Linked DNA regions of Diceros bicornis minor. The protein of the gene in region 2 interacts with the protein of the main gene of each other region in a pairwise test. Links are inferred from orthologs where the notes say so. Each region holds a gene or a part of one and is shown on either strand. Other genes may lie near its edges. The genes, in order: SH3GL1, SH2D4A, CDR2 and DBNL.

The links.
Region 1: the proteins of SH2D4A (region 2) and SH3GL1 interact in binary tests that used the Homo sapiens proteins (3 or more experiments, as listed by UniProt). The two-hybrid records come from large-scale screens. The link is inferred for Diceros bicornis minor from reciprocal best matches to the Homo sapiens genes SH2D4A and SH3GL1.
Region 3: the proteins of SH2D4A (region 2) and CDR2 interact in binary tests that used the Homo sapiens proteins (3 or more experiments, as listed by UniProt). The two-hybrid records come from large-scale screens. The link is inferred for Diceros bicornis minor from reciprocal best matches to the Homo sapiens genes SH2D4A and CDR2.
Region 4: the proteins of SH2D4A (region 2) and DBNL interact in binary tests that used the Homo sapiens proteins (3 or more experiments, as listed by UniProt). The two-hybrid records come from large-scale screens. The link is inferred for Diceros bicornis minor from reciprocal best matches to the Homo sapiens genes SH2D4A and DBNL.

The regions. Positions count from the first base shown.
Region 1 is NW_026691553.1:3,317,749-3,325,141, reverse strand, and holds the start of SH3GL1 (endophilin-A2), read left to right. Parts: upstream 1-4,382; 5' UTR 4,383-4,517; coding exon 4,518-4,562; intron 4,563-7,393. Other genes in the region: CHAF1A (chromatin assembly factor 1 subunit A), read right to left, coding at 1,776-1,827. UniProt on the Homo sapiens protein: Implicated in endocytosis. May recruit other proteins to membranes with high curvature.
Region 2 is NC_080768.1:40,644,887-40,652,160, reverse strand, and holds the start of SH2D4A (SH2 domain-containing protein 4A), read left to right. Parts: upstream 1-4,262; 5' UTR 4,263-4,747; intron 4,748-7,274. UniProt on the Homo sapiens protein: Inhibits estrogen-induced cell proliferation by competing with PLCG for binding to ESR1, blocking the effect of estrogen on PLCG and repressing estrogen-induced proliferation. May play a role in T-cell development and function.
Region 3 is NC_080765.1:31,136,486-31,143,927, reverse strand, and holds the start of CDR2 (cerebellar degeneration-related protein 2), read left to right. Parts: upstream 1-4,424; 5' UTR 4,425-4,621; coding exon 4,622-4,700; intron 4,701-7,442.
Region 4 is NC_080780.1:1,146,054-1,153,771, forward strand, and holds the start of DBNL (drebrin-like protein), read left to right. Parts: upstream 1-4,715; 5' UTR 4,716-4,773; coding exon 4,774-4,856; intron 4,857-7,718. UniProt on the Homo sapiens protein: Adapter protein that binds F-actin and DNM1, and thereby plays a role in receptor-mediated endocytosis.

The DNA.
Region 1 (7,393 bases), on a different chromosome or scaffold from region 2:
TGAAACACTAGCTTTGATGCAAGTGGGAGAGAAGTAACCTAGGCCCAGAAACAGCCTCGGGTCGACATAAAAAGGGACTTCACCGAGGGATCCAGACTGTTCAGAAGTACACATACAATTAACAATCACTGGTGTATAAACTTACCACTGCCCTTAATTCTGAGATACCTCCCTCCTAATTTTTCTTTGGCTTTAAAACATTCTTCCCTTTCATGATAGTATGTTCATAGCAAGTGGTGCTTTTTAAATTAAACATTCTGGGCCGGCCCCGTGGCTTGGTGGTTAAGTGTGCGCGCTCCGATGCTCGTGGCCCGGGTTCGGATCCCGGGCGCGCACGGAGGCACCACTTCTCCGTCCATCCTGAGGCCGCGTCCCACATACAGCAACTAGAGGGATGTGCAGCTATGACATACAACTATCTACTGGGGCTTTGGGGGGAAAAAATAAATAAATAAAATCTTTAAAAAAAAAAAAAAAACATTCTGGGGCCAGCCCCATGGCTTAGCGGTTAAGTGCCCACGCTCCACTGCTGGCGGCCCTGGGTTCGGATCCCGGGCGCGCACCGATGCACCGCTTGGCCATGCTGAGGCCGCGTCCCATACAGCAACTAGAGGGATGTGCAACTATGACATCCAACTATCTACTGGGGCTTTGGGGGTAAAAGAAAATAAATAAAATAAAAAAAATAAATTAATTAAACATCCTCACTGGGTCAAATGACTGTCTCTGACAATCAGTCCCGACTTTATTTACGTGAATTTTAAGTCTCTGTGAAATCCCCAAATCTGGAAACAATTAGAGCAGTGGTTCTCAACTAGCGGGTGACTCTGCCTCCCAGGGGCCCCTTGGCAATGCCTGGACCTTTGGGTTGTCACAACTGGGCAAGAGGGGTTGCTAGGGGGATCTAATGGATGGAGGCCAGGTATGCTGCTCCAGGCCACCCTACAGTGCGCAGGACGGCCCCAAATGTCAACAGTGCTGAGGGTGAGAACCCCTGGACTAGACTAATTGATGTCCCTGCCACCCCTTAATTCATTCCACCAACACATCTTTTTCGGCCACCTACTGTGTGCCAAGCATTGTGCCAAGGGCTGGGGACAAAATGGGAGTCAAGCAGGGGAGAGGGGTAGTCGGGCCGTCCTTGGTTCGCCTCCCACGTTGTCGGGGCCTGCTGGCTGCTAGGAAGCCCCCTCCCAAGCCACAGGGAGGAGGACAGGTCACCTTGCATACCGGGAGGATCAAGAACCCGGGAGTCCCGGCTCCCTGACGATCCCCCCACCCAGCCTCTTCCCTCGGCCTGCCCTGACCCGCAGACCCAGCCCTTGGGTCCCCGGGCCCGTGTGAGCCCGGGCCTCAGTTTCCCCACCCGGCCAGAGGGTCGCTGCGGGGCCCAACTTGCTCAGGGGACCCAAACGCACTCGGTTACCTGCCAAGCCGGCCCCTTCGCCTCCTCGGGCCTCAGTTTCCCCTCCCAGCCCCCACCGACCCGTCACCGCACAGGGCCCTGCAAGGACGTACTGCCGCAAAAGCGCCGGAAAGAAATGGTCGCGGCCACAACAATAACGTCAAGGAGCGCGCCCTCCGGGTCGCAAGGCCCTTCCCCGGGATTGCACGGCCCCACGGCCCGAACGCCCGGCGCGGTGGCGCGGGCCCGGGGCCGGGAGGCCCGTCCGCCCTCAACCGCCGCCTCGGCCCGTCCGCCCCCAACCGCCGCCTCGGCCCGCAGAGGCCGCGCGCCGCGCCCCCCCTTCCCCTCACCGCGGGCCCGAACCGACCTGCCGCCGCTGCCCTGGCGCCCGGCGCCCCGCACTCCGGCTCCTCCAGCATCTCTCCGGCGGCGGCTCGAGCTCCCCTCAGGCGGCGGAGGCGCAGGCTCCGCTCAGGCGGCCGCTGCTGCTCGCCCTCCCGCCCGCACCGCTGCTGCCGCGGCCGCCGCGCTCGTATTTGGCGGGAACCGCGGCGACCCCCGCAGCCCGCGCGCCGATTGGGCGAGGCCGCATCACGTGACGGCCCGCCTCGGGAACTGGGGAGCTCCGGGAGCATCCTCGCGAGAGCCGAGGCTTCCATTCCTCCCGTGGCTCCCCTATTGATATTCCCGCGGAGGGACGGGGCTTCCTCTTGGCTGCCTGTCATTGGCGAAGAGGAGGCGCCCTGCGATTGGGGGAGGGAGGTGTCAAGCTGAGAGCTCGGCACTGTGATTGGCTGAGCGCGTGGGATAGGTCGGTAGGAAGAGGGCGGGTCAGGCTCTTACGTCATGACGAGACGTTTTACGTAGGGCGACGGGTGACAACCTGAAGCTGCGATTTAGAGGAAGCCTGAAGTTTTGAGTTTATCCTAATTGGACGTCGGCTGAATACACCAACAGCAATTAAAATTGTAAATTGCTTTTATATGACAATACAAATAAACTCTAGGCATCGCTTCAGAAGTATTTGACATGCGGTAAATATATTCAGGGGGAATGAATGAAATGAATGTTTCCGATTTAATCCTCAGGATTTTTATACACTGTTTCCTTGCCTGGAAAACTCTTTCCGAAGCTCTTTTCTTTGGCTAATTTCTACCTAACTTTCAGATCTTAAAGTTAGACCTCGGAGAAACCTTTCCTCCATTACCCCCAACAAAATGAAGTTCCTACAACGCTGCTCTTTTTCTCGAAGAAATTACAGCTTATGTTTATTTATTACCGTGTTATTTGATTCATGCCGTAATTTCTGTTTTTGTCATTAGCTCCATGAGGGCAGGAGTCATTCATCACTGTATCCCTGAGACCTGTCAGTGACTGATACATTAGTAGGTGACAATAAATATTTGAGTGATTGCATAAATATCATTTGATTGGACTTTGTGATCATATAGGTTAAAAGGCTCACACAGAACAGAGACCTTCAGAGTAGGTTTTCTCCAGCAGCAATTTAATCCAGCAGAGCAGAAGTGAGAAGACCGAAATTTAGCCCAAGTTTAGAATTCTATTGATTGTATAGATCAGATAGTTAAATCAGTAGAATTGGTTGGAAGTAATGTGAAGAAATAGGGAATGTGGGCAAGACTTTGTGCAAGTCACGTCTTACTCAAGGCCTCAGTTTCCCCGTACGAACCATGAGGTGTTTTCCCTCCCTTCTCTGACATTCTGGCGTTCTGCAATGGTTTAGACCAGTGACCATCAGAATCACATGGAGAGTTTTTTCAAACTATTTGTAATGGCCCCATCAGGATCTTTGAGAGGGAGGCTAGGGCATGCATATGCCGAAACAATCCTCTGATCTAGTCCAGGACCTTCTGTTGAGGCATTTGGAAACTTCCAGCAAACTTCCGCTTCAGACAATCACCCAAATGTCAGAGATTTCAGCACTGAAGTTGCAAGCCCCTTAGCTCTAGTCACTTTCTTGTTCCTCTTTTTGGGTTCACATACTCATTCCAATTCATTGTTAATTTCCAATTCATTCAATACAATAACAATTGATTAAAAAATCAAGATCGGTAAGCATGCATCAATCTGGGAAGTCTTCCTAGAGGGGGTGATATTCCAAGCAGAGTCCTATTTTATGTGCAAAGGATGGAGCGAAAGATTGGGGAAGACTGTGCAAGAGAAGAACAACGTTAGCAAAGGCCCATAGGCTCAGGGATCACGGATTATGGAAGATGAAGAGAGCCAAAGTCAGAAGGGTTGACAAGGCCAAGTTATGCAAAGTTTGTAGGCTGTGTTAGGAAGTTGGGAGTGTATTCTGAGGGCAGTAGGTGGACTTTAAAAACAGGAGACTAATGTGATCTGAATTGTTATAGAAGCATCCTTCTGGCTGCCTTGTAGGGGGTGAATCGGAGGGGAGAATCTAAAGGTGGGCACACCAGAGAGGAGGCTGGTGGAATGGTCTGCTTAGGGCAGGGAGGGCAATGGAGGCAGTGGAAAGGAGGTAGAAGCGACGCCCTGATGTCTGACTTGGGAAACTGAATGGATGAACACGGGGCGGGGTTGCCGGTAGGTGGGAGGGACTAAAGAAAAAAGTAGCATAGAGGAATTGGGTACAGCTGAGATTAGCAGACAGGTGTCTGGAGACTTGTAAGCACAGCCTCCCAACCTCTCCAGAAAGGTTTAAGCGCCTTTCCTAACACGTTGGGGCCACCTCCGGGACTCCAGAGGTCGATGCAGCCGCCACAGCCCCTCTAGGCTCGCCCGGTCCACTCGCTGGCGGGGGCGGCCCCCCTCCCCGCTCCCGACGGCAGGCGAAGTGCGCGTGCGCTCTCCGGCCGGCAGGGGGCGCGCGTGCGCAGACGGGGCCGGGGCGCGCGCGGGCCGGCACCGGAAGTGTGCAGTTGCCATGTAATATCCTGGCCGCGCGGGCGCGCGAGAGGCTGAGGCGGCGCCGGGGCGGGCGCGGAGCTGGCGAGAGGGCGGAGGAGGCGGCGCTGACCGTGGCCGCGGAGGCGCGCGGGGGGTTGGCGGCGCCCGGAAGCCTGTCGCTTGAGCGGTCCCTCCGCTTCGCGGGGTCCGGGCGGGAGGCCCGACGGCGGGAGGCAGCATGTCGGTGGCGGGGCTGAAGAAGCAGTTCTACAAGGCGAGCCAGGTGAGCGGAGGCCGAGGCGGGGGCCCCGGGCGGCCCGGAGTGGGGGGCCAGGCCCGGCCCTGGCTCGGGAGGCGGCCGAGGGGGCTGCGTTGGCACGTGTCCCCCGCGGGGTGGGGAGAGCCCAGGAGGGGCAGGGGCTGCGGGCGAGGTGGCTCGGGCCCTGGCCGCCCTGTGTGCTCCAGCCTCCTCGGGAGGGGTGGGCAGACCCCTGGGAGGAGCAGAGATGCACCCAGGGGGTGACCCAGGGCGGTGATCCCTCTCCTCCTTTCCTCCCCTCTAACAGGGCAGGGGTAGGGAGGGAGAGAAGGGGAAGAACAGTCCCGAGGCTGTCGACACAGAACTCTTGCCAGAGAGCGCAGAGGAAGGGAACATTTGTGTCTAAAGCAGTTCTTTAAAACAAAAGGCAAAAAATACCCTTTCGATGGACCCGGTGCAAAGTTGAAAGGTTAGAGTGAAAAGTCAGTTTCCCACTCCAGTTCCTCTCCCCACGATCAGGACTGTCACCCGCGACTTAGGTCTCTTTTTAAGGATACGTGTACACCTCTCCTTTAAAAACACACATATAGTGGTAGCAGAGTCGACACCGTCCTGTGGACTTTGTGTTTTTCGTTAAATGTGTCTTGGAGATCACAGTAGAGCTGGAATTCTCCACCTGGGGTCATTCTCTGTGGGGGGACGTCCTGGGCACTGTGGGGGGTTGAGCAGCATCTCTGGCCCCCACCCGCTCGATGCTGGGAGCACCCTTAGCCGTGACACCCACAAATGTCTCAGTGGCTGCCAGATTTCCCTGGGGGAACCCCCTCCCTCCCCCCGCCCCCTCCCCCGGAACTACTGGACTAAAGCATGCTCCTAGAGCTTCTGGGATCTTTTTAATGAGTACGTGGTATTACATTTCACCAAGTGTATCATAATTTATTTACCTAGTTGGTTTATCGATGGATGTGTATCATAATGTATTTAACCGGTCCATCAATGGATGTTTAAGTTGTTTCCAGCAGTTTTCTGCTACAAACAACACTGCAGTGAATATCTTTGCTCACAGGTGGGATTGGATTTATAAGAGAAATTCCCAGAAGTGGAATGCTGAATCCAAGAATATCTGCATTTTATGTGTGACAGAGAGTATAGGTGTTTTGGAAGATTCGGGCCCAGTGGCTCATGAATCTGGCGAACGCTATGGCTCCACTCTCCAGAAAACCAGGCAGATGCAAAATTCGGTTTATAATTTCAGATCCCAGAAGCCCCAGATTCCTTGAACCCTGTTGGTCCCTGCATCCCAGGTTAAGAACTGTAGGTGTGGAGTTTGTGTGGATACACTCCACGGAGGAACGAGCGATGATTTTCGGAGTTCTTTGGGCCGTGTTGACAAGCCAAACTCTACCCACAATTTGGAGCGATCCAGTGGGAGGGAAGAGAAGTAAGTCCCCAGCAACACACAGCTGATGCCCTTCGGCCCTTAAGGGAAAAAGTAACGACCCTCTTGGTTGTCTAGGGCTAAAGATATTTGGGTCTATATCTAGACCCCAGATGGTGGCTAAACCCTGAAGGAAGAGGGACGTAATCCAGAGGCATTTAGGATTGTTGCTGAGGGTACAGCCCTTTGCCCCAGCAGGATGGAATTCAGTGATCTGGCCCTGGGTTAGCCTCTGCCCAGCAGGCTTCAGACCCCCACGTGGTTGGCTGGAGTGCCTTGGTGCTGCTCACTGTCTTGGCCCCTGTGTAGTCCGGCCTGCACAGGAACAATGTCCCCGTAGGTCTTGGAAGAATTCCTGGACCACTTGTACCATCCTGTAGACGGGTTTCCGGAAGCTCTCCCCTCCCCACCCCAGCTATCAGGCCCCATGCTGGTGGCCCACACCGTCCCCAGCAGGCACACCCAGCTAAAGGAACCAGCCGGGCCTCTCAGGCCAGCTGCCAGAGTGTTCTCTCTCGGGGAACCAGGATGGCCCGCATTCAGATCTGTGAAAAGCGCCTTGAAACCTGGAAAGCACAGCGCAGTGTAAGCTGGTGGTTCAGATCAATTTCTTATCTCCACATTCTGAGGCCCAGCCCCAGAGAATTGCTCTGATGGCCACATCCTTCTCTGAGAGCGGTTGTCTCGGCCTCCCCATCAACTCTTGTGTTGAGTAGTTCTCTCAAGACTCACCCTGGCTGTGTTCCTTTCTCTTCTGCAACAGTTTCCACGGGCATCCAGCAGCTCCTTTGTTTATCTGGACGTGTCCATCTCTGTGTGCGTTTCTTTTCTCGTTCTTAGGAACACCTCTTACATCCTCTTCTGCGCCCTCGGAATAGAGTCGTCTGTTCAAGAGTAACATATCTCGTTATGTACTAATAATTAGTATGTGTTGAGTTTCCACCATGTGAACAGGCAATGTGCTTTAAACCAGTTGGTCTCAACTGGTCTCTCCTCTGGCCTGAGCGTCAATGCACTCCCCTTTTCCCACAAAAGGACTTGGGGACTTTTATTGTCCTGTAGAACAGCAGTTCTCAACCAGGGCCAGTTCTGCCCTCCAGGTGACAGTGGCAGTATCTGGAGACATTTTGCTTGTCACAACTTGGTGGATTGCTACTGGTATCTAGTGGGTGGCAGCCAGGGGCACTGCTCAGCATCCTTCAGTGCACAGGGCAGCCCCCCCAGAACCACAAATTACCTGGCCCGCAGTGCTAGTAGTTCCGAGGTTGAGAAACTCTGCTTTAAGGTTTGAGAAAAGTGAGGCTAATTACACCAAAACAAAACAACAAGAAAAAATCTCTCCTGGGCCATTCTTGTGGTAGCTGCCTGCTTCTCCTAGTTTTCAAAACACACATACCCAGGTGTACACAGATGGATG
Region 2 (7,274 bases):
TCTCCCTAGGTTATTTTAATATGTGCTTCAGAATTACTTCTGTGCTCACTAGCAGTAAACCCTTATAAAACCAAAATGGATTTGTGTACTTTTTACAAAGATAGCACATAAGAGAGAAGTTAGGAAATCAAAACCTGATTCTGAATCTGGTCCAAGGAAGAGATGAGACTTTGGTTTTATTAGCATTGGGAGCCCTGCTGAAAGCTGCCTGGGAAGATCCGAGGAATGCCAGAATACTAGCAAGGGCTTGACCGTAAAGCTCTGGTTACCACAGCCTCTTCACAGACGTCCCACACCACTTGGGGCAGGGGATGTCCAATTCCACCCACAAGCCTCAAGTCAACAGTTCCTTTGGGCCACAGGCTGCTTCCCGCTGCATTACAGAAACACAGGAAAGGAGGAATGTCTTATCAGCAACCCAGAGCACGGATTTTGAGGAAACAATTCCATAAAGGTAATTCAGGGGAAAACATCAAAAATTATAGTCTAATTAATTCAAAGATTCATGTAAAGACCAATAATTTATCTTGATATTTATGAAGATGAAAAAATGAAAGCCCACATAGAGTCATAAAGGCATGAAAATAGTTCAAAATCAAATCTAACTGTTGGCAGAAAACCAAAACGTAATAGATCTTCAATACATTTTTCTATGATTAATAACTTGACAGAAATTTATTTTGAGATTTGATCAATTTTTAGTAAAGCTGAAATGTTTTAGTCCTTTTCTTTCACATCTACTTCATTCACTATGGAACAAACGTAGAACTTCTTTAAGAATTAAAAAAGTGGTTGGGGTTTCTGATGCTGACTATAAAATATGACAGGAAAAATATTATTGGTGTTTATCCTATTTTCTTTTATAAAGAAAAAGTCTGAAGGTAACTTTCATTTTCTGGAGAATTTAAACACAAATTGACCTTTACTTATGAAAAGTGAAAAGTGGCTTGTTAGACTTTCTGGTAGCAATCAGCTGCTGTGTACATAGCTCCCGGGGGTGCCTTACACTCTGTGATCTCTGCCTGGTGCACCTCCAGTTGTGCAGTGCCATGGCTGCACATGACAGCCCTGGGCAGCACCGTTCTTAAGCAACATTCTAAAAGGAATATCAGCGAACATGTCCCTTAAAATGTAGTCTATTTGTTTTGTGGTGTCCATTACTACAAATAAACGACAAATTTAAAAAATTAGTTAATTTACTAATTTACTATTATTACTGTTAGATATTAATAGTAAATAGCTAGTTAGCTTTTCTCTTGGAACACTGGCCCTGGATGGGCATCAGGGCAGCCCTGAACACATGTTCTGGTGACACCTATTGTACATGTCTCTGACTTGCCAGCGGTAGATGCCCAGCTCCCGTCCCCTGCCAAGGCCTGGTTGCCCAGACCTGACCTTCCATTTGGAGTGTTGCTAGCATATGAAAGCAGCAATCTTCTCCACAATGCATCCTGGATCATGGAGTGGAGAAATGCTTTCTTCTGAAAGCACTGGCCCAAAAGGAGGGAAAGTAATTGAGGGCCTCATAAGTAAGTAACGGAGGCAACTGGTGTTTTTTAGAGCAATATAAAACGTTCTAATTGTCTACTTTTGAAATTAAGGAAAAATATATACTTTTTCTTCCCCAGATTATGCCAACTGAAAGAGGAAATACTGGGAGACAGGAGAGAGGGAACAAAAAAGAAAGGTGGAAGAGGAGAGGAGAGACAAAGTGAAGAGGATGGAGAAAGAACCACAGAAAGAGGAGGAGGAGGAGAGAGAGATTTACATATCCAGGAAAGAGGCACACGACAAGACGACGGACAGGAGACAAGGAGAGAAAAGGGAAGAGATACTGGGCCCCAAGCTGAGGGAATGATTGCACTACTTGGGTACAGGCTGTGTTCATTTGGGCTGTTAACATCCATTCAGCTAACGTGCTCCGCACATGACTAGTCTTGCTGTCAAGACGTTTACAATCGCAAAGAGGCAGAAAATATACACACAGCTACTATACAAGGCAGTGCTGCATAGAAGACGGCAGCAGGGGCCCTGGCTGTCTGCTCTTTGTCACCCGCCCCCCCCGCCCCCCTCTGTCACCACACAGCCTGGCACCTAGCGGGTGTTCATTAGATGGTTCTTGGATGTGTTAAGTGCTAACCTGTGATACAAGTGCTCTGAACATGGAAGAGGCCAGGACTGTTTCCAGCTGGGGGGAGGATAGGCAGGAAAAGGTTCCTAAAGACTGATGCTTGAAGACTAGGTGGGATTTTCATAAGCCAAGTTGTGGGTCAAGACATTTTAGACAGAGGCCAGTGTGGAGCCCCAGAGCCTGTGTAGGTTTAGGGCCTGGAAAATGCCAGATTATCTGAACAGAGGATTGTATTAGGAAGATGATAAAGCTGAGGGAGATTAGTGTTAGATTGTCCTGGTCCTTGAAAGTTGGCAAGAGGTTTAGTCTTACCTTGGACAAAAAGGAGGGGTGAGCATCAAAGATCTTTTAGCAAGTAAATGAAGGATCAGAGTTAACGTTTAAAAAGATGAATTTGACAACTGCATTCAGAAACGTCTGACCTGGAGAGCCTGGAGCAGAGTTGCTGAAAGCACAATCTATAACCCCTCTTGGATCCAATCATTTGGAGTGCTTGTTCAAAAGGAAGATATTCTACTGCTTTGCTCTGAGGTGAGACCCCGGATCCATGTTTAAATAAGCTATCCAATACATGAAATTTCCTGCATATGAAAGCTAGCTAAAACTGGCTTAGAAACAAGACCAGTGTGGAGGTATATCAGTTATCTACAACTGTGTAACAAATTTCCCCAAACAGTGGCTTAATATAACACAAATTTACTCACTTCCAGTTGTGGGTCAGGAATTTGAGAGTGGCTCAGCCAGGTGGCCTCATGAATTTGCAATGATGCTGTAGACCAACGCTGCACCCCTGAGTGGGGCTGGAGGGTCCACTTCCAAGTTCATTCTGTGGCTGTTGGCAGGAGTGCTCAGTTCTGTCCTCGGGGCCTCTCCATAGGGTTGCTCATGACAGAGCCGTTGGCTTCCCTCAGAGGGAATGATCCAAGAGAGGGAGATACACACCTAAGACAAGCTACAAGATCCTTTATAACCTAATCTCAGAAGTGACATAGTAGGAGATGGGGATCATTGAGGCTAACTTGGGAGTCCAGGTACCACAGGAGGCAAAATTCATAGCCTGGGTGTGAGGTGGTAACTTGAAACTACAGTATGTTTTGTGAAATATTATGAGGTAATGTGTTTGAACACTTACCACATCCAGGAGCTGTTCTAAGCACTTTACATGTATTATCTCACTTAACCCCCAGAACAACTTAATCAGGTAGGCACTGCTGTTATCCAGAGGGGGAAACTGAAGGATAGAGAGCTTAGTAGCAAAGTGGGATCGCTGTTATAAAGAAGGACTTGTTAGGACATAGAGATAGGTTGAGTGTGGAGGAAGGTAAGTGGCTGTTACCAGTGTCCTGTGGAATTTTTACTGGCTGATGAAGGACCCTTTATAGTTCTTCAACTGTTCAATCCATCAAGTTTTAGGATTCATTTTGAGCTGGCCACAGCAGCTAACCAGGGGCGAACGACACTCCAGCCAAAAGCACCCCACATGCCATTTATTTAAAAAGCAGTGGGAACCAAAGCTAAGCCAGAAATCCTCCCCTGATAGGATCTCTAGGGTGGTTCCCAAATAGTTAGGTCTCTCAAGGACTGATCTCTGCTCCAAGGCTCTTTCTAACTTTGAGTTTCTTCTGCAGTCTGGAGAGGCTAGGAATGAGAAAGTTTCATTTCCCAACAGAGCAAGTCAGCTCCTGAATTTATCAGGGAGGCTGTAGAGAAGGACAATGAACGCTCACTGTTTATTACTCCTCTCCCCAACACCAGTCTGTGGTTCACTAAAGCAGGCCGTTTTTCTCTACACATTCTGAATGTTCCCCCTCAATGGAAAACGCCCTGCAACCTGTCTACTCCGCTACTGCTGGACTTCCCTCCAGGATTTCCTTTTCCTGTCTTCAGTCAGCTCCTCCCTTCATGCACCCCTCGACCTGTTCCTGCTACAATTCACAAGATTCCTTTACCTTCTTGCCTTTTTCCAGACTTCTTTCATTTTTCTCTCCCTGTCTCTTGTTTTCAGTCTCCATCATTCCAGCCTTTCTCCTCCTTGATCCTGTCCTACAAAGCCACACCTGTACTGACAAGTGCCCCCGAGTTTGAGTTGACTTAATGTCAACAAAAGAAAAAAAAAAGTAAGCTCCAGAGACGCAGGAGCACAACCTGAGAGCTGAGCCGACTTGACCTGCGGGACTCGGTGTAACTGAGACCTGCCCGCCGCCGCAGGCTCCACCTCGCTCGAAACCCCGGCTTCGGAGCGGGAAGGGGCCGGCCGCCGATGTTGATAAGTGACGCAGGACCCGAGATGGCGCGACAGGCCGTCACAGATGCAACTGGGGCCGGTGGCCTTGCCGTCCGGAGCACCGCGTCTGCGGCCTGGCGGGCGACGGGCCCGGGAGCGCCTCCGGCGCGGGCGGGGCCGCGACCCAGTCAGTCCCCGGCACGTGGGCGCGGTGGGGCGGCGCGGGCGGGCGGGGGCTGGGGACGCGTTTGCCCACAGCCCGGCCGAGTGTTTGTGCAGCCGGCCTGGGCCGCCCGCGGGCGCCTCTGCCTTCCCCTCCCCGGCCGCTCCCGGCGGCCCAGCCGGACGTGCGGGGCTCGGCGCCCTGCTAGGCGGGCCGGCGCCGCGCACAGGTAGGTGCCGGGCGGGGACGGGAGGCCGGACGGCGGAGGCGGGGCAGCCCGCGTGTGGGGGGTGTTCTGGGGGGAGAGGCGCGGGGCGGGAAGCCCGGGCGCGGCCGGCACGCACCCCCCACGGCCCCTCCGGCCGCGGGCTCAGGTGTGGGGCTGGGCGGGCGGGCGGCCGGCGTCGGGTGTCGGGTGTCCGGAGCCGGCGCGGGGGAGAGGCGGCGCCGAGGGCCGGGGCTGAGCTCGCGGGGCGGGGGCGGCGGGGGCGGGCGCGGGGCCCTGGGAGGCGCGCCGCGTCCCGGAGGGGGTGTGCCGCGCGCCACGCGGGGCGCCGGGGGCGCGGGGCGGCCGCGGGAGGGTCTGGGCCGGAGTTCCGGCGCCGGGAGGAGCGCGGCCCGCCGTCCCGCGGAGCGCCGGGGAGCTCCTCGCCGCGACCGTGCAGGCGAGTCCCCGCGCCGGTCCGGGGGCGCCGGTCCGGGGGCGCCGGGGCAGGGCCTGCGGCGGGCGGGCGCCGCTGGAGTCAGGGCGCGCCGGGCTCGGCCCTCAGCCCAGGGGCGCCGAAGGCGGTGGGCGCGGAGGCGCAGGGACGAGTCCCCCTCGCAGGTTTTCTCGGGGTCGTCCTTCCCTCCCCGAGGGTCCGAGGGAAGAAGCCAGCGTGGCGCCTCTCTCTTTCTAAACTTAGAGTCTCCTCACCTCCTAAAAGACTTATTTGATTGCCTGTTTACTGGCAATAACGACTTGGATACAATTATTTTTTTAAAGTGAATAAGTGGAAAGCATATGTGGGCAGAGTTGGCATGACTAGAATTTTCTGGATAAATCTGTGGGTACAGTAATTTCCAATTTTTGAGGAATGGTGTACATTTACAAAACTTACCAAGTGTGGTGTCACCTCTAGTAATTCCTTTTTATCCTCAAAAATAGCCCCTTTGCAGAGAGATTAATAAGGTAAAGTCGAATAAGGTAACAAAGTCTGAAAACGGAGCTGGGCTGTTTTAAAAGAATTAGAATTCAAACTATATTCTTAACATTAAAGTTATACTGTCCGTATTACAGTATTTTAATGATTTAGGCTGTATTTCAGGCTTTTTTTTTTAGGTCTCAGAGTCATTAAAAACACAATTATTCTTTCATAGAACAGGGCAGTGGAAATTGTGAGAGTCAGGCCAAATCTATAGGTATCTTGGAAAACAACTGATCCTATGATCCTTTAGAGATTTATTTTTGGAATAACCAGCAGATGTAGGCTTGTTGCTTGTCATTTCTCTCTTTTAAGAAAAGTGCTGTACAAGAAGAAAACCAAGTTAGCCAAGCTTCTCTTTTTTTACTGGATCTTGAAAAACTGGAAGTTTGCTGCACTCAATATGTTACACAGGGCCAAGTCATTGAGTTTGAATCAGCAATGATTGTCCTGCCTGGAGTGAAAGTGGGAAGAATCCTGCTTAGTTAATTTCCTTATGTCCATTTCCTTGATGCTGGCTCCACTTGTCTTTGTAACTTCTGGTTGGATTTTATGGTATAGTCCTCAAATTACAAAGATTCACAGTTCAGGCCCTCCTTCACAGATGAGGAAACTGAGTCCAGAGAAGTGACAGCGTGAAGTTACACAGCTCATGAGAGACAGAACTAGGAGCCCAGGCTGGGGTCCCTGCTGGCTGTCCTGGGAGTGCCCTGGGCTGTGTTTGAGTTTCTGTCTGAAAGCATACGGAGGAAAGAGTTCATTCACACCAGTGGGAATCAGCAGCCTTAGAGTGGCATGCGTATTATTCAGCATCCTGACCACAAGATGGTTGTTAGCTGGGTCCCCAAGTAATCTCTGAGGACACAGGAAAGCCAGTGTCTTTTAAGATCCTCTAGTTAACTTTGACGCTGAAAATCCGTGTTTGCCACAAAGGGCAAAACAAAACAGAATTAAACCCGTGGAGGAGCTTGAGCATCTCCTCACAGGGGCTGTGGAGCTCTTCCCATTGTGAGAGGCTGGGCCGTTGGTGCTGTCCCGGGGGGTCGTGTGTGAGGGGCAGCTGGGGAGATGAGTGCCCAGTGAATCCAGTGGGCAGACAGCGTCCACACCTGGGCCAGCAGGACAGTAAGTTCCCTGCTGTCCTTCCTGAGGTGGGGCCTTTTCAATTTTGGCCTCCCCTAAGCTTATCTGCAATCCCCGGGATGAGGCTTCTACCCCTGGGAGGCTCTCCGTCGGTTCAGCATGTCTGTCGCTGCAAGAATTTGCTGGTTTTCATTCCGAAATTTCACATATGGTACCTCATCCTGATGGTGTTCTGATTCTGGGCTCACAAAGAAACTCCACTGTCCTGGTGGAGTACACTAGAGCCAACTTAGAGCCAGACTGCCCAGCTCTGCCACTTGCCGTCATCTTCATCTGTAAAATGGGGTGATGGGGACTGAACTTGAAGGATTATTGTGAAGGTTAAATGAGTGACTGCACGTCAAGTGCTAGGGTAGTGGCAGCACAGTCACGTCACTCTTGTATCGAGAGTACTCTGGGTGGGGTGAGGGGAGGAATGAGCTTTGGCAC
Region 3 (7,442 bases), on a different chromosome or scaffold from region 2:
TAACTTACAAAAGTGCGATTTATCCAAGAGTTTGGACATGCTTAACTACGGGCCAGGGAGATGTGTTTATGGCATTGTTATCCTCCCTACTTGGAAGAGTGCAACAGAAAAGGAACAACAAGGTGATATCCTTTAGCTAAAGTCACAGAGAAGGAATGAAGTGAGCCCTTCATCTTAGCATAAAGTTGTCCACTCAGTAGTACAGGTTTGCACTGGATGATTTAGTCTTGATCCTCTCCTGACAGACTATGTAACTTTGGCCCCAAAAACATACCTAAGATAGATCTGGAAATAACACATTCTGGTCCTTGCTCTGATGTAGATGTCCCTCTTAAATCTGGCCTATTGTCTTACTCTTTCAGTGACTTGATTTCCCCAACTGAAAACAGGGAAAGGTTAACCAAGCAAGAGGTAGGTATAGATCATCTTCCTTTTAATCTTGACTATGGTTTTAACATAACACCATGATTTTCCTGTTTCATCCCTGCCTTACTGGAATATTTGTCCAGGTCTCCACAATTTTACTGAATCAGAAAACAGACAAATATTCAGATAACTGGAGAGATGTTACTTGCTTAAATAATTCTTGGGAATTAAGCAGGTACCTCAGTCTGTATTACCCAATTTCTTAGGGAAGGAGAGGGCAAGTTAGAAGTGGGGGAGGGAGCATTTGGCTCAAATGATCAAATTACCTAAGTCCCTGAGTTTCACTTTGCATCTAGTAGATACATGATTCTAATTCTATGGAAAGTAGGACCCTGGAATTATCAAAAGCAGTTATTAAACACATAGGCAGATCAAGCATTGTCTGTCGACGGAATAAAGAATATTTTGCCCATCCGTGTACTAGTATTCTCAAAATGTTTGTAGATTCTGCTTAATGATAAAATATAAATCTGAATTTTTTTTTTTTGTCACTACGCAGCACTCAAACACTTGAGGAATACAAGTACTATTACGTAGAGGCCAGCCAACATTTTTGGCTTTAAAGGTAATTCTCAGATTTGAACAAGCTGGGAATGACTGGTGAAGCCCTCATTCTAGGGAGTTCCTTTTGCCATAAGAAGCAAGATAGAGGCTAAAGGTCACTGGGATTCTAAGAGGGCCCAAAACAAGGGAGTCAGTAGAACCAAAAGCCAAGGTACAAATTTAGCCCACCAAAATCTACTCACTCTTCTTTTTCTTAGTTTTATTTCAGGCATGCTAAAACAAGAAGGATGCCATACCTTCTGAACTGATCTATCATTAAGTCAGAAGGCAGGTATTTATAAACTTAGAATTTTACAAAGAGTCATAAACTCGCTGAGCTGAGCTCAATTGTTTTTAACCCCTGGGAAAGGTTCACCATGAGCTAACATCTGTTGTCAATCTTCCTCTTTTTCTTTTTTTTCCTCCCCAAAGCCCCAGTACATAGTTGTATATTCTAGTTGTAAGTCCTTCTAGTTCTTCTGTGTGAGCCACTGCCACAGCATGGCTACTGACAGATGAGTGGTGTGGTTCCGCACCTGGGAACCCAACACAGGCTGCCAAAGCTGAGCCCACCCAGCTTTAACCACCAAGCCATTAGGGCTGGCTCTCACTGAGTCGAGCTCAAATTTCTAAAAAGAATTTGAGTTAAGCACCCAGCCTGTCTGAAACATGTGAATATAAGGTTTTAATAACATTATGAAAAACTCTATAGCCTGAACTTCTCTTTGTGTATGTATACTCAGAGGAGGAAGTAAAATCTTCCTTATTTCCATCTGCGAAGGGAACTATCAATATTTTGCTTTAGATTATTTTCATCATAGTAATACTTATTTCAATAAGTATCAAACTGAAAATCAACAACTACAATTTTTTCAAAGCCACCACCACTATCTAAAAACTCTCCTGGGGCTGGCCCGGTGGTTTAGCGATTAAGCTCGTGCACTCCACTACTGGTGGCCCAGGGTTCGGATCCCGGGCGCGCACCGACACACCACTTCTCCTGCCATGCTGAGGCCGCATCCCACATACAGCCACTAGGAGGATGTGCAACTATGACATACAACTATCTACTGGGGCTTTGGGGGAAAAAAAGGAGGAGGATTGGCAATAGATGTTAGCTCAGAGCTGGTCTTCCTCAGCAAAAAAAAAGAGGAGGATTAGCACAGATGTTAGCTCAGGGCTGATCTTCCTCACAAAAAATAAATAAATAAATAAATAAATAAATAAATAAATAAATAAAACTCTCCTTACCTGATTTTACTATGGCAACAAAACACAAAAGATCGAGAACATTATATCTTTACAAGCAGGGGCAAAGGACTTCTGAAACTGGTTCTTCTTTATCACAAAATGTTTTATACAGAAGAGTTTGAAACTAGCAAAATGGTGTCGTGGTTAGGCTGGGCAGGTTCACTAAACACCAGTGAATTATTAAATGAAAAACAGGAAACCCTCCTTTTAGAATCAACTTGGGTTGTTATTCATTAACCTACTACTAAACCAAATAATACCAATGTTGCTGAAGAAGCTGTTTATGATTGCTTCTAAGGTATGACTAAGACTCTCAAAGAATGATCAAGACCTCTCCAAAGCAGGGCTTCTAGCACTGAAAGCTAACATGTCTTTTTCAACGCAATTTTTGTTCAAGATTTTTCCAGGGAAAAAAAAAGCTTCCCCAAATAGTGTCCTTAAAAAGAACCCACTAACAACAATAGGCTTAAAGCCTGTTTTGTTTTGTTTTTTGACATTTTAAACTATCAATAACTTTAATTCTCCAGATCTTTCTCTCTCTCTCTTTTTTTTTTTTTTTTTGAGAATGTTAACGTTTCAATACACTTTCCCATCTGATTTGGAATCAAAATGAGCTATTTAACATCCTTATAACTATGGCATCAGAAAAGAGTACATATTTTTATATATATAATTAAATGAGCTATTTGCCATGGAGAAAAAAGCCAGCACTTTCAATCTTGCGGATCAGCAACTATGGAAGATGAAGTCTCTTAAAGGTCAGATGCATGATTCTAACCCTTCATCTTCCACAAATCGACATCAACAAATCCTAAATCCCATCATTTCTCCTTCCAAACAGCTCTATCTGTAGTGACTTATTTTTAAATTAAGACAGTTGGTTTTAAGTTGTTTTTTCTTTTGGCTCTGGACTAATATCTCTACCTGAATATTGACAACTAGGGCAGTAGAGGCTTTATAGGGGACCTAGCTTTCTTCTTTTTTAACCTAGCAATAAAATGTAGATCAGTAACATTTTGTCTTTTAGTATACCTGGATTCGGAAGAAAGGGATTCTTGAGTTTACCATTCCTCTTTCATTATGATTATTACTTTCTAACACCTTTATTCCTTCTACATTTCTTGGCTGGCATTCTACTATAAAAGAGAGCACTGCTGTCTTCTATTAGCTGTACCTTTACCTTTACATCAAGGTTGAGAACACTGACGTTGTGGTTTGTCACTATTTAAGAGTTTCCCGGCTTTGTCTGCATGATGATGGTAAAAGCTGCAACCCACGAACAGTGGTTACCGTCATGTCTGTGGGGAGAAGCGTTCACTGCTCTGCCGGCCATCAAGGGCTAGCGCTGCGTTCATTCTCTTCTCTACAGGTGCAACGTCACGACCTACATGCTTAACTTGTAGTCTACGAGTCTTTTAGATATCGCACGCAAAAATGCTCGCAATTTTTCTTCTAAGGAGATAGGTTCAACTGCATCCCTTCCCGCCCCCAGATTCTCAAGTACGTCTGGGGCCAGCCGTTTTACAGCGAACGAGTACAATTTCCCAGAGAATTGGAGGTGAGGGCTCAGATGTCAAGGAGCAAACTGCTAACAGCCCTGAACTCCCACCGACTGTTCATCTCCCCGCATCAACGACATCAAATCTGGGAGTCAGAAGACCCGAAGGGGCAGGCGGGGCAGCGGACATCGGGCTCCCGGCACCCTTCGCGCCTCCTGGCTGCACGAAGGACACCTCACGACAACGTCCCACTGCTCCGAGGCCGGACTCCAGCCCCTCAGGCCCACGCAACCTGTCTACTGGCTGGGCGGCCCCACACCCACACCCACTACAGGCGTTGCAGAAGCCGCCACCTCCACAACCCAGCGACACCAACGCACTCCCAGAAGCGTCCCAACGCAGGAGAGGGCGGGGGCTTCGGCCGCACCCCTTCGCCTTTTCCCCGCCTTCTTTGTTTCTTCCAGATCCGCCATTGGCTGCTTGTCCCCGAGGCCGGGCGAACCCGCGGGCCTGCATTGACACGCGATTGGGCGACGTCGCTGCCCCTCGACCAGCAGCCCGCTCTCGATTGGTCGAGGCGCCGCCGGGGGTTTGAATCGCAGCCCCGGCCGGGGAGGGTCCTGCCGAAGTGCCACGTTGGGCCCGGCTGCGGCGTGAGGAGCCGGCTCGGGGCGCTAGCCGCGGCGCTCGCGCCATTGGGGCGGGTGGGTGGCGCGAGGCGAGTCGGGAAGCCGGTCCGCGGCGTGCGGCTCTGGTCGGGCGGCGCGGGGGAGCTCGGGCGGCGGCGCGTCCCACCCGAGGGCGCTCTGGCTGAGGAGGGAGGGACAGGCGGAGCGCCCGGGACAGCGGCTGAGGCGGGACGGCGGCGGCGGGGGCCGCTGCCCCCGGAAGAGCCGGCCGAGATGCTGGCGGAAAACCTGGTGGAGGAGTTTGAGATGAAGGAGGACGAGCCGTGGTACGACCACCAGGACCTCCAGCAAGGTGAGGGCGCAGTCGCCCCGCAGACGACGGGCGGGCGGGCGGCCTGGCTGGGGAGGCTCCTCCTGGGCGCGAAACTGGTAAAAAGTTGCGTTTGCTCGAGGCCGAGAGGTGCCAGGTGCCGGGAGAGTCTGGCGCTCACCTGGCGTTGGGACCGGCCGCGCCCGCCCATCCCGCGGGAGAGAAGCCTCTGCGCGGGGCCGGGGCCCGGGCTTGTGCTCGGTGATCCCCATCATCGCTGCTGCGCGCGGATCGCTGGCTGCGCCAGGCACTGTCTGGAGCGCCTTCCCCGGCTTCGCTGATCTAACCCTTACTGCCTTCCTCGGAGGCAGAGCTGCGGGACCCTGACCAGGCTCGGCCCGCGGCCTCTCTGCCGCTGGGAGTCGTCCCACCCCGCGCCGGGTGGGAGCGGCTGCAGGTGGCGGGGGAAGCTGTCCCGTGTGGCACGTGCCCAACCCTTTGCACACACGCAGTCCGCACAACAGCTCTGTTGGTGAGAGAGTAACTTTTAGTATCCCCATTTTCCAGATGAGGAAAGCGGAGGCTAAAACGGCTAAGTGACTTCCCTCGAGTTAAGTGTGGGAGCGAGTATTTTTGAACCCACACACTCAGAATGAGGAGTGCCCAAATCCTGTGTCTTTTTTACCATCCGGTTTACAGCTTCTTCAGTTGGATGTTAGACTCTTAAAAAAAAAAATTGCTTAGGCTTAGTTTAGATGCCAAATAAAATGACTTGAGGACACTTCTACCTCTACCACCTCCTTCAGTTTGCACTCCAGCTTTTTTATTTAAACACAAGCATTTGGATCTTGGCCTGCCTTGGATTTCTTGATGATGCTGTGTCTCCAGAGAAAAACGTTAGAGCAGCCCTCTTTTTTTTTTTTTTTTTTTTCATATTAATAGCAGGAACTTGCAGTTGGGGAACGCTTTTTATGTGCCAAACACTGACAGGCCTTTACAACAGGTGCTCACTTAATGCTCCCAACAACTAGGGAGGTGGAAGTAGATACTGTTATCGGGGAACTAGGATTCCACTTCAGACTCCAGCGCCAACTTTCTGAACCACTATACTGAACACTGAATAATCCTCAGGAATTTCTCCAGGCATCTTCTGTTTCTGCAATTCTGTGTAAATCAATTTTTTCAGCTCCAAACTTGCTCTGAAACTTAACATTTCATTTAGTTGAGTAGTAAATGACCATGATGTTTGTTCAGGCTAACCATTGAACTTAGGGGGAAGGGGTGCGGAAAAAGAATGTAGGCTTGAATGACTCATGTTCAGAAAAGGAAGATAAACACCTCTTTTGGGAGAAGATGATTTCTAAATCCATATGCTATGGACAGTCACTGAAACCAAAGTTGTTCACCCTTACGCTTATATAGTCGAAGTTATTTCGCGGCCGCAGTGCAGTATTTGCCATCATGTTCTCTGCGAGACAGATTTGTCTTACATTTAATAAACCTGTTTTCAGAATTCCCCATAAGGATTGATGGCCTAGTTTGATACTTTCTCCAGGGTTAATGGAGCAGCCACTGTGCAGTTGCAGCATTTGCCTGTAATAAATTAAGCAGTTTGTATAATCAAAGCTAAATGTTTTTCTTTCCTGCATTTGAGAGGCGTGGGTCCATACAGGCTCATTGTTTTGAATCTAGCAAAATACTTAACACATCGTAGAAGCTCAGTTTTAATATCTGTTGAACTGAGGCACTCACACAGGCTTACTGTTTTCGTGGCTCTCTTCCATCGGATACCTTCGTCCACGCTGCACTTTCCCCCGTGGGAGGTTGTTAGAAACAACCATTTGTAATATTTCAGTCTACTTAGAAGCAAATGCAACGTGGTGGGGTTACGTGCGGAACTCTTTAACCTCTGATGAAAATGAAGTCATCAGGTGTTCAAGCTTATTGAAGCCATAAAGAGCACACGTCCAAACCTCCTTAATGTTAATTTGCTTTTGGAATTTGTTCCCTGCTTTTCAAAAGACTTTTACGTCCATTATCACAATGGACTTTGACATAACCTGTATGTCATAACCAAGTGTATGGGGTAAGAAGAGATGTGAAATTCCAACAATCATAACTTGTGAATATAGCCTGTAGAAGAATGAAGGCTGCAGTGTGAATAAAAGGATATCTTTGTCCGAATTTTGTTAAACTATATGTTAAAGAACTCCTAAACTTCTAATGGATTTAAAATTTTGTTAATTTCTCAAAAATTTATTATCTACTCTATGCCAGGTATTCTTGTAGGCACTGGGGCCACAGTGCCTATCCACGAGATAGGATAGGTAGGGTCCTACTCATGGAGTTGACGGTCTAGGAAGCTGTTGGCTAGAGAAGCCTGGAGATGCTGCCTCCTGGTATGTGCCCACTACAGTGCCTGGCACATGGTAGGCCCTCAGTAGGTATTTCCTGCTGAATAAAGTTTAGGAGCAGGTCTGCCCTGTTAAACAGATTGATAAGCAAATCTAGCTGGATTTTATCAAGTGCAGGCATCTGTTCATTTTTTAACATCCTCACTGTTAATTTACTGAGCGAGCCCTATTTGGAGAGAGGTGCTAGAACAACTTTTTAAGATCTTGTTCTCAAAGTCATAGCACTACAAAATTTTTTCCTTTTGCAATAGAAGCGTTATTTAAGTAGATTGAGTCTTTGTATCAAAGCTTGCTGGGGCATTCGTTTTAAATTAAAATTGCTGAAAAATTCTAACCTCGGGCCAGCCCAGTGCATACTGGTTAAGTTCAG
Region 4 (7,718 bases), on a different chromosome or scaffold from region 2:
CATCGTTGAGGGTGGAGGAGTGGTGGAACGAATACGAATTTTCATATTAAGAAGCTGGCACAATTCATGTAAGCTGATGCGTGAGACCATCTCACACCCTAAACCCCCAGGGAACAAGCGCTGTCGTTGGACCAGGGACCTTTCAGTAGCACGGACACAGGCGCGAAGCTGCCTCTACCCCTCAATCCATGTGAAGAAAGGAAAGAAGTGCCGTTAGGCCTGGGCCCAGCCTTGCCTCAGAGTTTGTTCTCAGGAGCAATAATGGCCTGGCCAGGGCCCAAGAAGGCCAGCAGTGCTCAAGGGGAAAAATTATCTGCCAGCTCCAGAAAGAAGGATGGAGCTGGAGGCACAGGCTGGTCTGCGGCCAAGGCAAGGAGTATAAGGCTGGCCGCCCTTGTGGAAGAAGCTGGCCCTTTCTGCATTCAGCGTCAAATGCCCAGCAGGGCAGGCTCGGTAGGCCTTCACCCTGTAACAGGAGGGACTGAGAATCTGTCAACGTCTTTGGGTGAAAATGTCAGCAAAGTTGTAGTGAAACTGCAAAATCCCCATCACCTGTGTCTTCTGTTCCTTTTGAGCCTTGTGGGGTTTCTGCTGGCTCTTTGCTGTGGGTGCACCCCTCTACAGCGGGGAGCTTGGCTGAGGCATGCATGTCTTCAGGTCTCCAGGGTTGAGGCTTCAGGCAAGACCTGAGAAGCCAGAGACCCTCACAAGAGCTCTGTGAGTGGCAAGCGCGCCCTCTCTGTGGCCTTTGTAAACGGTTAAGGTGGCAGGAAAGAACACTCCTCCTCCTGAAGGAGGAGGCTTTGCCCTTCCTGTGAGCCACCTTGCACTGACTTGTGGCTGCCCCTCAGAGCCAAGCCTTATGACAAGCAGTCATGAGGCCACTCTCCACCTGAGGGCCTGGGACCCTCAGGGTCAGAACTGCAGCCCTTCCACCTGCCTGCCATTGACTGCTTACTCTCTGTTCAAATCATAAGAGGGCCTCAACTAGGAAGGTTTTTTGTTTGTTTGTTTGTTTGTTTTGTGAGGAAGATCGGCCCTGAGCTAACATCTGCCAATCCTCCTCTTTTTGCTGAGGAAGACTGGCCCTGGGCTAACATCGATGCCCATCTTCCTCTATTTAATATGGGACGCCACCACAGCATGGCTTGACAAGCGGTGCGTCGGTGTGCGCCCCAGATCCCAACCGGCGAACCCCGGGCCGCCGCAGCGGAGCGCGCGCACTTAACCACTTGCGCCACCGGGCGAGCCCCGGAAGGTTTTTTTTTAATCTCTCAAGATGTGAAGTATTTGTTTACAGTATTCCTCTTACCATGCAGCATAAAGAAGTTTTCTTTTAGGGCAGGAAAAGTAATGATTCCATTTCTCTAACTCTGTAGTAACGTGACCACGTGTGGCTGAAGTGGAGAGATGTAATCCTAGTGGCTTTTAAGAAAATCATTTTCTTGCTAATTGACATTTCTGTTGATGAAGACTGAATAAACAGCTATTCTTTCTTACTGATTGCTATGGTCTGAATGATTATGTCCCCCAAAATTCCTATGTTGAAATCTTAACCCCCAAGGTGATGATATTAGGGGGTGGGGGTCTTTGGAAGATGATTAGGTCATGAGGGTGGAACCTTCATGAATGGCATTAGTGCGCTTATAAAAGAGACCCCAGAGAGGTACCTTGCCCTTTCCACCACATGAAGACATAGCAAGAAGATGGCCGCGGGTGAGGAAGCAGGTCCTCACCAGACACTGAATCTACTGGTGCCCTGATGGTGGACTTTCAGCCTCCAGCACTGTGAGAAATAAGTGTCTGTGGTTTACAAGCCTCCCAGGCTGTGGTATTTGTCATAGCAGCCTGAACAGAGTGAGACACTGGTCTTGCTGTGCTTCTCTGACAGTTCTTTTTCATAATGCTGTTGGTTCCTTCTAGACGGTGGGCTCCAGAGGGAGTCTGCCAGCAAGATCCTCCCTCCACACTTGGACTCGGGTGTCTTGAGGACATGGCCAACTGCCCTCAGTGTGGAGGACACTGACCATTCTGGGCTCTGGTTCTGTGCCTTGGATCTGTCATCTAACCCACCAGGAGAGCATCAAGAAGTAAAGCAGATCTGAGTTTATCCACATGCAAGAAAGGTATAGACGCTTGTGCAAATAGCAGAGAAGTTAGTTCAGGAGGAGAGAGGAGTCCCAGGAATGACCTCTGGAGACATCTCACGTTCTCAAACTGAGGAACAGCCAACCAAAAAGAGAGAGCTTGGGGCTGGCCCGCTGGCGTAGTGGTTAAGTTTGCGCGCTCCGCTTCGGCGATCCGGGGTTTGCAGTTTCAGTTCCCAGGCACGGATCTATGCACTGCTTATCAAGCCATGCTGTGGCAGGCATCCCACATAAAATAGAGGAAGATGGGCACGATGTTCGCTCATGGCTAATCTTCCTTACAAAAAAAAAAGAGAGAGAGCCAAAAGGAAACAGGAACACAAGAAAGCAGGAGTGGGAAGGAGACGGATATGGAAATGGTTTACACACAGCAGCCAGCCAGAGGGACCTTTTTAAAACATCTCCAGATCACATCCTCTCTCTTTACAGCACGCCAGAGATTTGGTTACACCTAGAACAAAACCCAAAGTCCTTCCCCTGACCCACAGGGTCCTACGGGATCCAGCCTCCACCCCACGTCTCCTTCCTTCTCCTTCTCCCTGTGCTCCACCCTCAAGCCCATTAGGCTGGCTCCCACCTCAGAGCCCCGACACATCTCGTTCCCTCTGCCTGGAACACTTCTGCCCAGACCTTCCATAGCCACACACTCTCACCCCCCTGCTCCTATATCCAGTCTCTGCTCAAGTGTTACCTCCTCAGAGAGCCTTCCCTGGCCTGTTGAGGTGAAATAGGTTCCCACACCCTAGAGCAGGAAGTGGAATCCTGGCACCCTCACATTCCCACACCAGGGACCCCCCCTCAGCTTTCTTTCAATGGAGCCTGGATCTCCCTGATTTTCCCTCATTAGTGTGGATGAACCTGGTCACCACAATGAGCTGATCTATTTCCAAAACAAAGAGACCTGCCTCTTTGGCCTGCACAGCTTGATTCAGGCAAGGGGGGGTCTCCCTAAGTTGACTAAAATGTTGAAAAGTGCTGCCAGACCTCCTAGGAGTCCAGGGACCCCAGGCTGGGGACTGGCAGCCAAGTGGATGAAGGAAACTGGTTACTAGGAGGTGTTTAACAGGAACATTCCCAGAGATAAGAGAGAAAACAAAGACACATGGGGCCAAAGAGAAGAAGGCAGAAGAACCATAGACTGGGGGCTGAACTCTCCCTGGAATGCAAAGGGTGGGAGGGACTAGGGTGGAGCAGAAAGTCACCTGAGGGTCAGGTCTGAAAGAAAAACAAGGACAGCAGAGATGTCACTGAAGAAAAAAAAGACTAGAAATTGGGAGAGCTGGGAGGTCCGCACTACTAGAGTTCATTTTTCTGATGCAAACACAGTAGTGAAGTCAAAATGTAGAAATGGGTACACCTGCACGTCGTAGAAGAGAAGACCCAGGATGGACTTGGGGAGGGAGGGAGGCGGCAGACCGGAGCTGCTGAAAGGAAGGAGTGTTTGGCCAGGACCTACAATTTCCCCAGACTGGGACAAGGTAACCGCTCTGCCCATCAGAGAGATGTCAGAGCTTCTGCCTGTAAAATAAACAACAATGATGTAAACAGAAATAAAAACCGACATAAATGATTTTGGTAACTCATTTGGCAGCCAAACCTGACCTGAACTGCCACGAGGCCATTAACAGTCTTTCTATAACCCAATTAGCCAATTGTTCACAGACATCACTGCACAAATATGAACGTGTTTGATACCAGATGCTGCTTGGGATCAATATTACTTTTCTGAAATCTGAAAAACTCTGAATTCAAAAGCACATCTAAGGGACTATGGGACTGTTGGATCTGTATTTTAGGGAGGTGGGGAGTTCTTTGGGGTAAGAAGGGAAGCTTCCAGCTGCCTTGGGCCCTGGCATATTTCCCTCTTTCCCTCCAGGTAGGTCAGTCACGACAGGCACATTTGTGCATGGAAGGAACTGGTGCTCCCTGCAGGAAGGGAGTGGATTGAAGCATTGTGGGCCCCTTCCCTCAGTCGGCCAGGGCCTGGAGAGAATCAGGATGAGCAGCGGGCAGCTTCTTCACTTTCCTCCGCTACCCTGTCCTCAACCAAACCAGCGGGGGAAATGCAGGTGAGGTCGAGGAAGCACAACAGCACTTTGAGTTAGGTTTGTGGCGGTGTGGTGTCACTTAGTGTTCACTTTACTTCGCGTACTCATTGATTCATGCATGCTTCATTCACAGATCAAACTTCTGTTGAGGGTCCACACAGACGCTCCGGGAATTCCGTTTGGAGGGAGACTGTCATGAATCTCAAATTCTTAAATAAGTGCATTAATCGCGGCAAGAGTTAGGACAGAAACGCACGGTGCTCCCTGAGAGCAGCTATCAGAAAGCTCGGTTGAGTGCCTCGGCCAGGCCCACAAGGCGAACGAACGCCTGGGCGGGGTGGAGCACCGGGGACGCGCAAAGGGACGTACCCTGCCCCCTTCCTCCGGTCCAGAGGCTTTTGCAGGCCGCCACACCGCCCCGCCCCGCTCTTGCGACGCCCAGCCGGGAGACGCCCACTCACCCTGGCCTCGCCCACGCCGCTTCCGCTTCCGGCCGTATGGTGGGCGGGGCTTCCGGTCGTCGGGGGCGGGCCGGGCCCGGAAGCTGCAGCAGGGGCAAGGGGATCTCGGTGCTGGCCATGGCTGCAAACCTGAGCCGAAACGGGCCTGCGCTGCAAGAGGCCTACGTGCGGGTGGTCACCGAGAAGTCCCCGACCAACTGGTGGGCGCCGAGGCGGGCCGGGAGCGGGCCAGGGGCGGGAGAACCAGGGGTTGCGGAGCCGCGCGGCCGCAGGTGGACCGGGGCTCACCTGTTTGCCCCACACCTGTGCCACCCCCGGGAGGTGCTCTCCCCGCCCTGGTCAGCCAGTGCCCCGCCGTGCGTGGGCGGGTTAACCCCGTCTTGGGGGCCCAGTGAGTCCCCAGCCCCTCCCCCTCCGCTGGCGTCGGGTCTCGGCTCCTCGGGCCTCCATGTTGGGTTCTGTGCCTGGCTCTGGTTGGTGGCTTCCCAGGTTCTCCTTTCCTGCCCGGGGACTTCCCTGGACGAAGGGGCCCTCCACAGCCCTCCGTGAGAAAGCAGAAGCCAGGCCTGGCTTCTTTCAAACTCTGTGTTGAGGAATGGGCCTCGCAGAGCGGTCTGGCAGTCCGGCTGGGAATAGGAGCCTTGCCCTGGAGGCGTCAGACGAGGTCAAGGGTTTGATTTCTAGTTCTCTGTGAGTGTGGGTTTCAGAAACCTCCCTTTCTCAAAGAAGAATACTCCTTCCCGTGCCTGAGCTGTGGGGAGATGGATGAAACAAGGATGCTGGCTACTTGTCTTTAGGAAGGTCCCATCCTCCCTCCACCTCCCGTGACAACCTCCGCCAGGCTGTCAGTGGTTAGGTTCATGCAGTGGATGGAGCTTTATAGTACTGGAAGCCTGGATCTGAAGTCTCTAGGGTAGCCCTGGGCAGCCCACATGCAGGGTCAACTCTTTGTTGGGCAAGCACTGGTAGCTATGCAAGGTAATTCTGTGTCACTTTCCCGTTTGCTTCAATGGCTTTCACTGATCAGTTGTGAGCACTTCCAGTTCTAAGAAATGTGCTGAGTGTGATGAACTAAGGTGACCAGCTTTGGGGAGCCTGTTCCCATTGCTTGGCGCGGGGCCTGTTGTGGGTGGCTGTGCTGACGTGACTGGCTCATCTCCACTTGTCAAGTGCTGCTGCTTTCTCATCTGCTTTCTCTGGTGCCCAGCACAGAGTCGCTTTCATACAACATACTATTGTGACACTGAGGACGCTGTGGCCTTCCCTTTCCTTCAGCCCTTGGCCTTTTGGGGAAGAGTTTCAGAACACCAGCTGCCTAGGTCTGCAGAATCTGCAGACTCGTCTCGTCTCTGGGGCCAAGTGGGTGTGGGCCCCCTGCGTGGCACTTGTCCACAGTTTTGCGTAGGATCCAAGCAGCACATCCTCTGTTTGGAACGCTTCTGTTCTAATTAGGGATGGGTGTCTGGTAACTGGTAGGGATTCTCTGCCTTCTCTTCTTTGCAGCCCCTCAGAAATTCACCGACACGTCAAGCACTGTTATTTCTCTAAGGAAAGTTCTGGGTGTCAGCCCTCCACCCTGTCTCTCTCCCATCTCAGAGGGCCCTTCGGCCTCTGCTGTTACTCCAAACCCTGTTGAAAGTCTCTCCACACTGAGTGTCCCATTTTCACATCCATGTGAGGGCACGTGACTTTGGAGCCTGGAAGCATCTTTGTGCCTTCCCAGTCCTGCCCAGTTAGGGGTCTGCTCCTTTATGTGTGCTTAATCATCTGGTGTAGCCCTTTCTGGGCCTCTTAAGGGGTCTTCCCTCCAGGTCTGTCTTCATCCTCAGTCTTTTCAGGAAACATCACTGGTTTGGGGATGATGTCCCGCAGCCCAGCTGGCAGTTCAGGCTTCCCTCTGCAGGCCTCTCATGTTTCCAGCCTGTCCTTGGGCTTCTTAACAGCTCTCTGCTACCACCCAGGACTCTGTCTCCCACAAGGGTGCTGAGCCTCTTTCCTCTCACCCAGTCAGAGCCCACCCATCTCACCAGCCTCGTCACTCTCACCCAGGCTCCAGAACCATTTTGGGTCATACCACTCAGCAGCATGAACCCCTGGCCTCTGCCCTCATTGTCACAGCCGTTAAGTATCTCACCAGATACTGTGTGGCAGGTCCCCACTCACTAGCTGAAAAAATATCTAAACCGTGTCACTTCCCTGCTTATTAAACTCTGCAGTGGCTTCCTGTTGCACATTAAATACAGCCTGGACTCCTCTCTGTGGCTGACAGGCCCTGCATGGCCCAGCTGCTGGTCTCCTGGCCTGCCACCCCTCCTGTTTACCACACTGTGGCCACACCTGTTTCCACCTCTCTAACCGCCTTTCTCTTCCTCAAACTTGCCAGCTGGTTCCTCAGAGCCCTTGCTCTTGCTGCTTCCTCTCCCTGGAGTGCCCTTCCGCATCATCCTGGGGGCTCCCCAAACTTTACTTCTCAACTCCGAGGTTGCCTTCTTGGAGAGGCCTTCCTCGCTTCCTAGCTGCTTGGCTGCAGTCACATCTTCCCATCTCCCTGTTTTACTTCCTCTGGACACATGCCAGACTCCTCATTGGTGTTCCTGTCTCCTTTCTCTCTTCACCGGAAGGGATGGGATATGCCCTGTGTCTATCCCCAGTGCAGTAGTTGCTCAGGTGAAGGATGGACTGAGAGGGGTACAGAAAAAGTGGTATACGGTATGAGAGCAAGAAGAAGTGGTCTCTGGTTGGGTGGATGGTACAAGGTCTCACGTGCAGAGTGGGTGGTATTGGGCTAGGCCTGAAGCCAGGTGGGGTGGGGAGCAGCCACAGCATCAGGTCTCCATCTTGAGTCTTTCTCTTGGTTCCCCCAGGTTATTCTTCCCCTAGATCATGGCAGGGTTGTTCCCCTCCTGCACCCACTGCACTATCTGACAGTGTGTTAGTGTTGATTTGTGTATTTCTTTTTGTGTCCCGATAGAGAGTTCCACGGGCAGGGCCTCGTAGGGATTCTTCATAGCATTATTCCCATGACTAGCAAGCAGCATGTTCTCAGTATGTGTTTTTGGAAG